Linked DNA regions of Nothobranchius furzeri. The protein of the gene in region 2 interacts with the protein of the main gene of each other region in a pairwise test. Links are inferred from orthologs where the notes say so. Each region holds a gene or a part of one and is shown on either strand. Other genes may lie near its edges.

The links.
Region 1: the proteins of aagab (region 2) and ap2s1 interact in binary tests that used the Homo sapiens proteins (3 or more experiments, as listed by UniProt). The link is inferred for Nothobranchius furzeri from reciprocal best matches to the Homo sapiens genes AAGAB and AP2S1.

Annotation. Positions count from the first base shown.
Region 1 is NC_091753.1:41,293,609-41,297,946, reverse strand, and holds the start of ap2s1 (AP-2 complex subunit sigma), read right to left. Parts: upstream 2,984-4,338; 5' UTR 2,834-2,983; coding exon 2,831-2,833; intron 2,416-2,830; coding exon 2,266-2,415; intron 1,836-2,265; coding exon 1,722-1,835; intron 523-1,721; coding exon 463-522; intron 275-462; coding exon 173-274; 3' UTR 1-172. UniProt on the Homo sapiens protein: Component of the adaptor protein complex 2 (AP-2). Adaptor protein complexes function in protein transport via transport vesicles in different membrane traffic pathways.
Region 2 is NC_091744.1:65,858,284-65,862,400, reverse strand, and holds aagab (alpha- and gamma-adaptin-binding protein p34), read right to left. Parts: upstream 2,747-4,117; 5' UTR 2,709-2,746; coding exon 2,606-2,708; intron 2,469-2,605; coding exon 2,278-2,468; intron 2,197-2,277; coding exon 2,100-2,196; intron 2,015-2,099; coding exon 1,925-2,014; intron 1,818-1,924; coding exon 1,734-1,817; intron 1,635-1,733; coding exon 1,555-1,634; intron 1,389-1,554; coding exon 1,292-1,388; intron 1,210-1,291; coding exon 1,105-1,209; intron 1,005-1,104; coding exon 955-1,004; intron 883-954; coding exon 799-882; 3' UTR 617-798; downstream 1-616. Other genes in the region: iqch (IQ motif-containing protein H), read left to right, coding at 3,293-3,343, 3,692-3,780, 3,858-3,930. UniProt on the Homo sapiens protein: May be involved in endocytic recycling of growth factor receptors such as EGFR.

The DNA.
Region 1 (4,338 bases), on a different chromosome or scaffold from region 2:
ATACGTAAACAATATTGTGTATTTTTATTCAAAACAACCCCCTCCCTCCTTGTCTTGAAGATGAGAGCTGGCTCTGCAGGGGCATGGAGAATGGTGTGGTTCTTCCAGAGTGATAGGGACATGGTGAAGGTCGGGTTGGGCAGAAGATAAAAAGCACAGGAAGGACACATTTTCACTCAAGAGACTGGAGCATGAGGAGCTGCTTGAGAACCTTGGTCTGACTGGTCTCCCTGATCTCTCCTGCCAGGAACATCTCGTCCACCACCGTGTACACCTTGAGACAGACGCACAAAACAGATGAGAGGACAAATACTGATCTGAGCACAAATACCATCAACTGCATGCGAACATGACCCAACTCCCCCTCTTTGTCATCAAAATAATACAATTAAAAATACATGTAATGTCTTTCTATCAGAGATTGTGTCAAATCTGAAAAATAATCCCTCTGTGTGTTCTCACCTTGTAGAAGTTGAACACAAGATCCAGTTCGCACACATTGTGAAAATATTCATTCAGCACCTTCCAGCAAAGAGAAACAGAAAAATGTACATTTTAAGCTACACAACCAAAGTGTGTACGACAATTACCGACAATTCCTACGAGTGAAATGCGACTGCAGAACAGAAAATACCAAATTCACTTTAAATAAAACAACATTTTAAACCTGTTGTTCAGGATTTGGTTTAGCTGTTGGCTAACGGTAACAAGGACAGCTATTGTCTACTATTGATTTTCTTCTACTTTATTCTGGCTTCCACAGCTGCCCATTTGCTTTCCATTGTGTGAGAAATGGCAGAAAGGCTGCAGCATAACAACAAATTTAACCATTTTGTCCTAGTTTTTTAACAGTTCTATGCAAAAACAAAAAATAAACCGCTCAATAATCCCTGAGGTGGTCCATTTCAGAGAAAGGCTTCAAAAGTAGTTTAGGTGGATACCGTCAGCTTCACTTGTGCAAAATTATTATTGTAAAAGCACAAAGATCAGACTGAAAACACTGCTGCTAAAACAGAATAGTGAAATTTTACCTCATTTCTGTTTCAGACTCGAAGCCAAAACATTCAATCATCAAAATATAAAAATAAAAACTTTAATTGTATTTGATGCTTAAGTGTTTCAAACCGGTGCTGAAATAGAGGTTAAATAATTTTAAATAAATTCAATTATTTTCTCCTGACACATTCTGCACCAGACAGATGTTATATAAGGTGAACATTTAATTGCCAAATCACACATTTATTATGAATGCTTTCCATGCCTTCATAACTGAATGACGATCATTTTTAACCACTATATGTTAGTTTTTAATCCACACAAAAATGCAGCCAGTTTGGCATTCAAGAACTGCAAGGTAACAAATCACAGCCACAAAGAAACACTCCTAAACCCCACCAGACCATGACAAGCACAGGTCATGTGTGTGTTTTATCTCGAAATAAGGTTATTGTTTTGTTCATATGTCCACTGATTTCATTTTAAGTGTATTAGCTACTGCTAGGTTCTTGTTTTCTTTTTCTACAATTTGTACAGTTTGGGCTCTTTTTACTTCCAACTTGTTATACTTTCCCTCCTCTCTCATCTATTTTGTAGAGTAGCCCACCACTGTTTTTTGGCCTTTGGACCTCCTGTACAGCACTCTGGACAGCTGAAATGCTGTGTTTTTAAATGTGCTTCATAAATAAATGATGGATGGATGTTTGTGTGTGTTCATTGTTTACCTCAACAAAGTTGTGGATCGCCTCGAGGTATGCCAGGTTGTTATCAGTCACATCCACACAAATACAGAAGTACAGGCCTGCATAACGTCGGTAAATGATCTTGAAGTTCCTGAACTGTGAGGACAAAATGGTGAAATCCAATTAGAAATTTAGATTTGTGTAACAGAAGTTTCAGCAGAGCTGAGAGACTCAAGGCTTTGTATACCAATAATTATATTTAAGTCTACTACAAGCAAAAAATAAACAGGTGGGAACCTCTTCTATTATACTGTATTTGTTAAAAATGATAAGTCACCCAAGGGTGTATTTAAGGCGTTATCTTCACATACAGACCAAGTTCAATAAATAGAAAATATGTTCTTTTGAATGTTATTTTCCTGCAGATATTGATCAACATCCATATATGAAACATTACAATCCAATTGCATTTCAGCCTCTCTTTCAAGAGTATTGAGCTATACTTAAAATTAGAAATCTTAACTTTTTAATGTCTATGCAGTCTGCAAAAACAGCCACACATTAAAGCATTTATACAATCCCATACCTCCACAAAGTTGGTGTGCTTGGCATCCCTGACTGTAACCACAGCATGCACTTCTTCGATCAGTTTCTGCTTTTCGTCATCATCGAACTGCATGTACCATTTAGCCAATCGTGTCTTCCCTGCTCGGTTCTGGATGAGGATAAAGCGGATCTTTGGGATAGAAAACGGATTAGATCAAACAAAATAATCTGCAACAAAACCCACCCACACAAATGATTAACACACTGGAATAATATGTACCATAGATTGGCAGCTATGGAACTCCAGCTTACTGAGATGTGAAAGTAACTGAAGCTATTACTGACCGTTAGCTTGGCTGGTGTAAAAGGTAGCACTATTAAACCACACCTAGCTTTTAACATAATGCGTACACTTCGACATTCTTGAATTTCACCATGCTATCTACATAGGCTAAAGTGGAGGTTTTCTGTGGTTAAACCCTCAATTTAACCACCAGTATAGTTTTCTAGACTGAATGGAGTGCTTATCTGTCGAGTTCTAAACGCTAACATAACCTGACGGCTAATAAAAAAAAAGATTAACTTGAATAATTGAATAACTTTACCATTTTCGTCTTCCTAATATGCTTCTTGGGCACTCCAGAATATTACGTTCATGAGCAATAATGCACCACTTTTATATTAAAACATCGGTATCTCTTTTTTCCGCCCGTTCGTCCGCTATCCTCTCAAGCTAACAGGATGTGCAAAACTACGCCGAGTTATGTTGCATTCTGGGAAACGTAGTCATCGCTGCTTTTCTGCCAAGTCAATGTAATCCACGAGAAACTACAACAACCAGCGGTCCCGATTGACGTATCGAGTTTCGTTGCGTTTTTGGATCACATGAGAAAAACCTTCACAAATTAATGTATGTCAAGCCAGTTTAACATATATGTCAAGCCAGTTTAACACATAATTTTTTGAGCGTTACAGGTTCGTGATATTCAATCATTTAGTTCCTAGTAAAAAAATAAAATAAAATAAAATAAATTTCAACTATTTCAGAGGCTTTCATGCAACCCACCACAATTCTATTCAAGCATACTAGTTAGCGTTTAGTTAATTTAAACATAAGTGTTTTATAAAACAATCTCAGTTGTGAAACCTAAGATGTATGCATTATTTTTATGATAATATTTTTCAGCAAGAAATGCAATTTCCATGGAAAGAATTGCAAGAACAGATTGCAGCTGATTAAATGTCATAAATAGTCAAAACTTTTGTCAAAAAAGGCAAAAAAAAAGCCAAAAAATTCCTGAAAAAGTTTTATATTTCATATGAATTTTGGTAATGAAAAATTACTTAGCTATTGTAGTTTTACTATTATGCTGCACTATATGGAAAGATTTAGTGCACAAACATGAAGGACAGATCATATAAAACTACGGCTATGTTCCCTTTGTAAATTAGTTTGTCATACATAATTTGTCTCAGGTGTTACAGGTTACTGAAAAAATCTATATATAGTCACACATTTCTGCACAATTGTGAAGTTGTTTGTGTTTTATTCCTGCATTATCAAGGCTTAGCATTTGTTTACGGGTCTGGCTGGGCAGTCCACCACAGGCCACTGCACAGACAGTTTAGACAGCTTGGATCTGAGCGCTCTGGGCATTTAGGGAGTCTGATGGGAGGAGGTGTAGGTTGGGGGGGTGGGGGTGGGGGGGGGGGGGGGATTGCACAACTCTTGTGTAAAGGAATGCGCCTGCCCTTGGGACCCAGAGATATCTCAGCTGCAAATGGTGCAAACGTAAAAGAATAGAAGAAAAAGGGAAAGCGTGTAAACAAAGGGAAATTGTTTTTATCCCCTCTGTAATGCTTGTGAGCTTTGACTGACTTTAGTCGTGCTTAGATTTATAACACTGCGGTAATGTTTCGCAAGAAAATAATTTCAACAGCGATGCATTTCATTACTCAAGGAGAGGGACGAGGTAGTAAAAAAGGCCCGGAAAAATAAATAATAATAATAATGAAAAAAGATCAAAGCTGGGATAAAGGGACGTAAAACAGAAGCAGATTATTCAATAAGAACTTTGACCCTGCAGGCTAATCTTGCTTTGTGTGATTGAGG
Region 2 (4,117 bases):
TGAAGGGAAAATGCCCCAGGAACAAGCAGGAACTGAAGACTGTTGCAGTAGAGGCCTGGCGGAGCATCACCAGGGATGAAACCCAACGTCTGGTGATGTCTGTGTTCCAGACTTCAGGCTGTAATTGACTGCAAAGGATTTGCAACCAGGTATTGAAATGTATAAGTTTGATTTATGGTTCTTATTCTGTCCCATTACTTTTGGTCCCTTAACAAGAGGGAGGCACATATGCAAACTGTTGTAATTCCTGCACCGTTCACCTGATTTGGATGTAAATACCTTTAAATAAAAGCTGACAGTCTGCAGTTAAAGCGCATCTTGTTTGTTTTATTTGATATCCATTGTGGTGGTGTATAGAGCCAAAAATGTTAGCATTGTGTCGATGTCCCAATATTTATGGACCTGACTGTACATCTTTTACAGCCTTTGTGGGGATAAGGCACATTTGTAACAAGACACCTGTCAACAATACCTAAAGATGAAATCAAAGAAGAAATCAAAGTCCACGTTAGTAGTTTTCCACCTGCAGCACCAAGGCTCACTTGAGTTAAAAACTTTGAAATAACTCACTGATCTGGAACACTTGTGGTTTCTTCTCCAAACAGGACTTCCATCATTTTTTTTAAGAACACAATTTATTTCAGAATCAAAAGTTTCTAAATTCAACTATGCCTACAGTTTCACCTGTAAGCATCTCCACTTTCGAGGGTGTGATCAGGACGTCTTGGGGCAGTGATGCTTTTGTGAGCTCCAGGACTGGTGGGAGGGTCAGCAGGAGGGAGAAGGATTCCCAGCTGATTAGCTTTGACTCTCCTCACCTGATGATAACCCATCTATCTCATCGCCATCACCACCAATGGCTGTCCAGAATGCTTTAGCCACCTGAAAATTTAATTTATTGTCAATATTCCATACAAGCTTCTCGTTTGTGTTGAAATAAACTAACCTACAAACCTTTTCTGCATGAACTTTTCTCTGCTCATGAGGTAATGAACAAGCTTTATCTAAAGGGGAAAAAATATATGACCTTTAATGCAAATACTCGACCTTCATGCCACAAAAAAAAATATTAACTTCACATTGTAAACTTATTTTCTTGTTTACCTTTCATCTCCTTTAATTTTGTAAAGAGACGTTCAAAATTATCCACATCTGCATCTCCAGCTGTGAGATGGGCAAGCTCCTGAATGTCTAAATCAGTCATGGCATCTGCAAGGATCAACACAGCTTACGTCAACAGAAGGGTTTGGTTGGAAATTGCATGAATAAAAAACAAAGGGGAAAAACGTGCCCACTACTGAATCCTCCTGCGATTCTGTGCTTGAGCTGTTTTCTCTCTGGTTGACCTCTTCATTGATGACTGTGCTCTCTGCTGGTATGCTGGAGGACTGTCACAGAACCAGCATTAATAACAGACCTTAAAAACGGCTTTATTGATTTAAAATTAATTTTTCAATAAAAATTGTATTCAAACCAAATTATTTTGGATGTAAAAACAAGGAATATTACATATTGGCACAAAAATGAAAATGTTTACAATAAAAATCTACTCACTGCTGGATCCTGGCAGTAACGTGGGTTGTTATGTCTGGAAGCCACTAAACTGCTCATTAAACCAAAACCCTGATTGTGCCCTGTTGGAAATAAAAAAAAAGTCACATGAATAATATATACACACAAAAAAATTATACAAGTCTACAAAATATGCAGCTAATATCAATTCATCAATTCACCATCCTTCATCTCCACACTGGACCACACGTTGGCATTAAGCGCCTGAACAACTCTCTTCACTCCTGTGGATTCTGGAAAGTCATCTAAAAATTACAAAAGAAATAATGATTGATTGAATAAATAAACAAACCAAACTGAGTATTTGTTAAAGATAACTATGATTGTAATTTCTTCTGCAAGTTGAACTCACCATCCTCATCTGGAAGCTCCTGTGGATTGAGCTCCACAAGCTCAAAAGCATGAGCTAAACACCATTGTTGTGCTTGATGTCTTGTAACACCTTAAAAAACACACACTTAATGTAGCAATGATGTGCAAATTGTATTACTGTTTTTCCTGCTAACTGATGGACACTATTTACTAACCGTTTTCACAAACTCTGTCACAAACCAGAATGAGCACTTCTGGAGCAAGATCTTCCACCACTGAAATCCAAGGCTTCAACTTTTCCAGCCCATCTTTCTGTAAACATCAACCAAACGTGATGGAAATAAAAACTCAGATTATATCATTTTATTATAACGTGATTCATGGGGTACAAACCGTTTTACTGTCAAAGTAAGCAATAAAAGCCTGCATAGACTGGGCAATCTCAGATGACATGTCATAAATGCTAGGTACAGCACACAATCGGACATCAGCTGTATAATATTTGTTGTTGATGGTCCAAGGATACCAGGAGACCGTTTCGTCTTGTACGGATGGCTGAGGCAAAGTCTCTGAACCAAGGATTTCTGAGGGGGTGAAAATAGCACACGGTATGTTACATTAAGCAAAGCTGCAACCACACAAAGCACCTCTAAATACCTGCTGTGCTAGCTACGTTTAGCTTACTTGCTACATGGTACACGTTATGTCTTAAATAACTTACGTTTAATCAGCTCTTCTTCTTTAAATTCACTGTCACAACTAGTGACAAGCACACACGGAAGAGTCATTTCTATGTTTTCTTCTGTTGCTGACATTTCTGACATTTGCTTGTTTCTGAGCTGCTAGTTTCCGGTGTAGCAACGTAGGCGACCTTTCAACTCTGACGCAAATTCCGCTTCTGGTGAAACGTTAATTCGACAAGTAAAAAAAAATCACAAAAAAAAGTCCGTAATTAAATTACATCAAATTATTGAAGCTGTGTTGACACTGATTGTTTATATAGTAAATTGTACAAAAAAAACTAAAATCTTAGATGACCTGAGTGTGAAATTTAGCCCTTTCTATGTCTGTTAGGGCAGACTGCAAAAAATATATGTATATATTTTGTAATAGGAAGACCATAATGAACATTTGTTGGATTACCTTACGAGATGGTAAAATATATGATATTCCTTTCTTATAGGACTTAAGACTGTTTTAGATTATTATTATTATTATTGTTATTATTTTTGGAGGGCAGATAGCTGTGAACCTCACAGTCAGCCTGTGGATGAAAAAGCCCACTGTAGCTGTAGTCATGGTTACAAGCACTGGTTTCAGTAGCTTAGCACAGACGCTGGTTAAACTTCATAAACTCTTGTATTTATGATATAAGTGTAAATTTCAGTTGTCAGACCTTCTCTGGAGAATGTCTGACACACACGAGAACAAAGATAAATTGGGTGCTGATACATTTAAGGTAGGTCCATGTCATTCTTTATTTTTTGCTAATTTAGGTTTTCAACTCATTGGAAGTTATCGTAAAACTTTAAGGCAAAGTACTTGTTTGGACGAACATAGCACCTTTATCACTAAAAACCTTTAAAAATGTTTTTATATATATTGTTGTGTTAAAATAATAACAATAAAGTAAATTTGCTTAGAAATTGAATTAGTGTTATCAGTCTCCAGTCTCCCATTAAACTTTTATATTTTGTAATAAAGGTTAATTTTAACTTGACTAAATTCAAATAATATTGTCAGTGATGAGGCAAAACATTGGGCATTCAAGCCCATGCATTTAACACGTGTTTCTGTGTAAATAAAGCATGCTGAGGATTATCTGAAAACAGTGAACAAGCAGCCACTAGTACTTCCACCCATTGAAGATGAACAAAAACATACAATACCTATTTGGTAAGTGATGAATGACTGAGTTGTGTTTATAGTGTCATACATTTTTATCATGAAGTTTGTGAATCAACTTCATGCAGGAATCCTCTTGAAAATTTCTTTGAAGTGCATCCCCAAAGGAAGAAGATTCCAGGAGCATTACCTGGAAAAAAGGTAGGATTTTCTTTTTTATCAATCAATCAATCAATCAATCAATCAATCAATCAATCAATCAATCAATCAAAACTTTATTAATCCCAGAGGGAAATTAGAGTTTCATTACACACAATTCAGAGATCAGACATACATGGGCAAGACACATGACAAGAATTGGTGACTGTGGTCATTCGCAACACGAGTT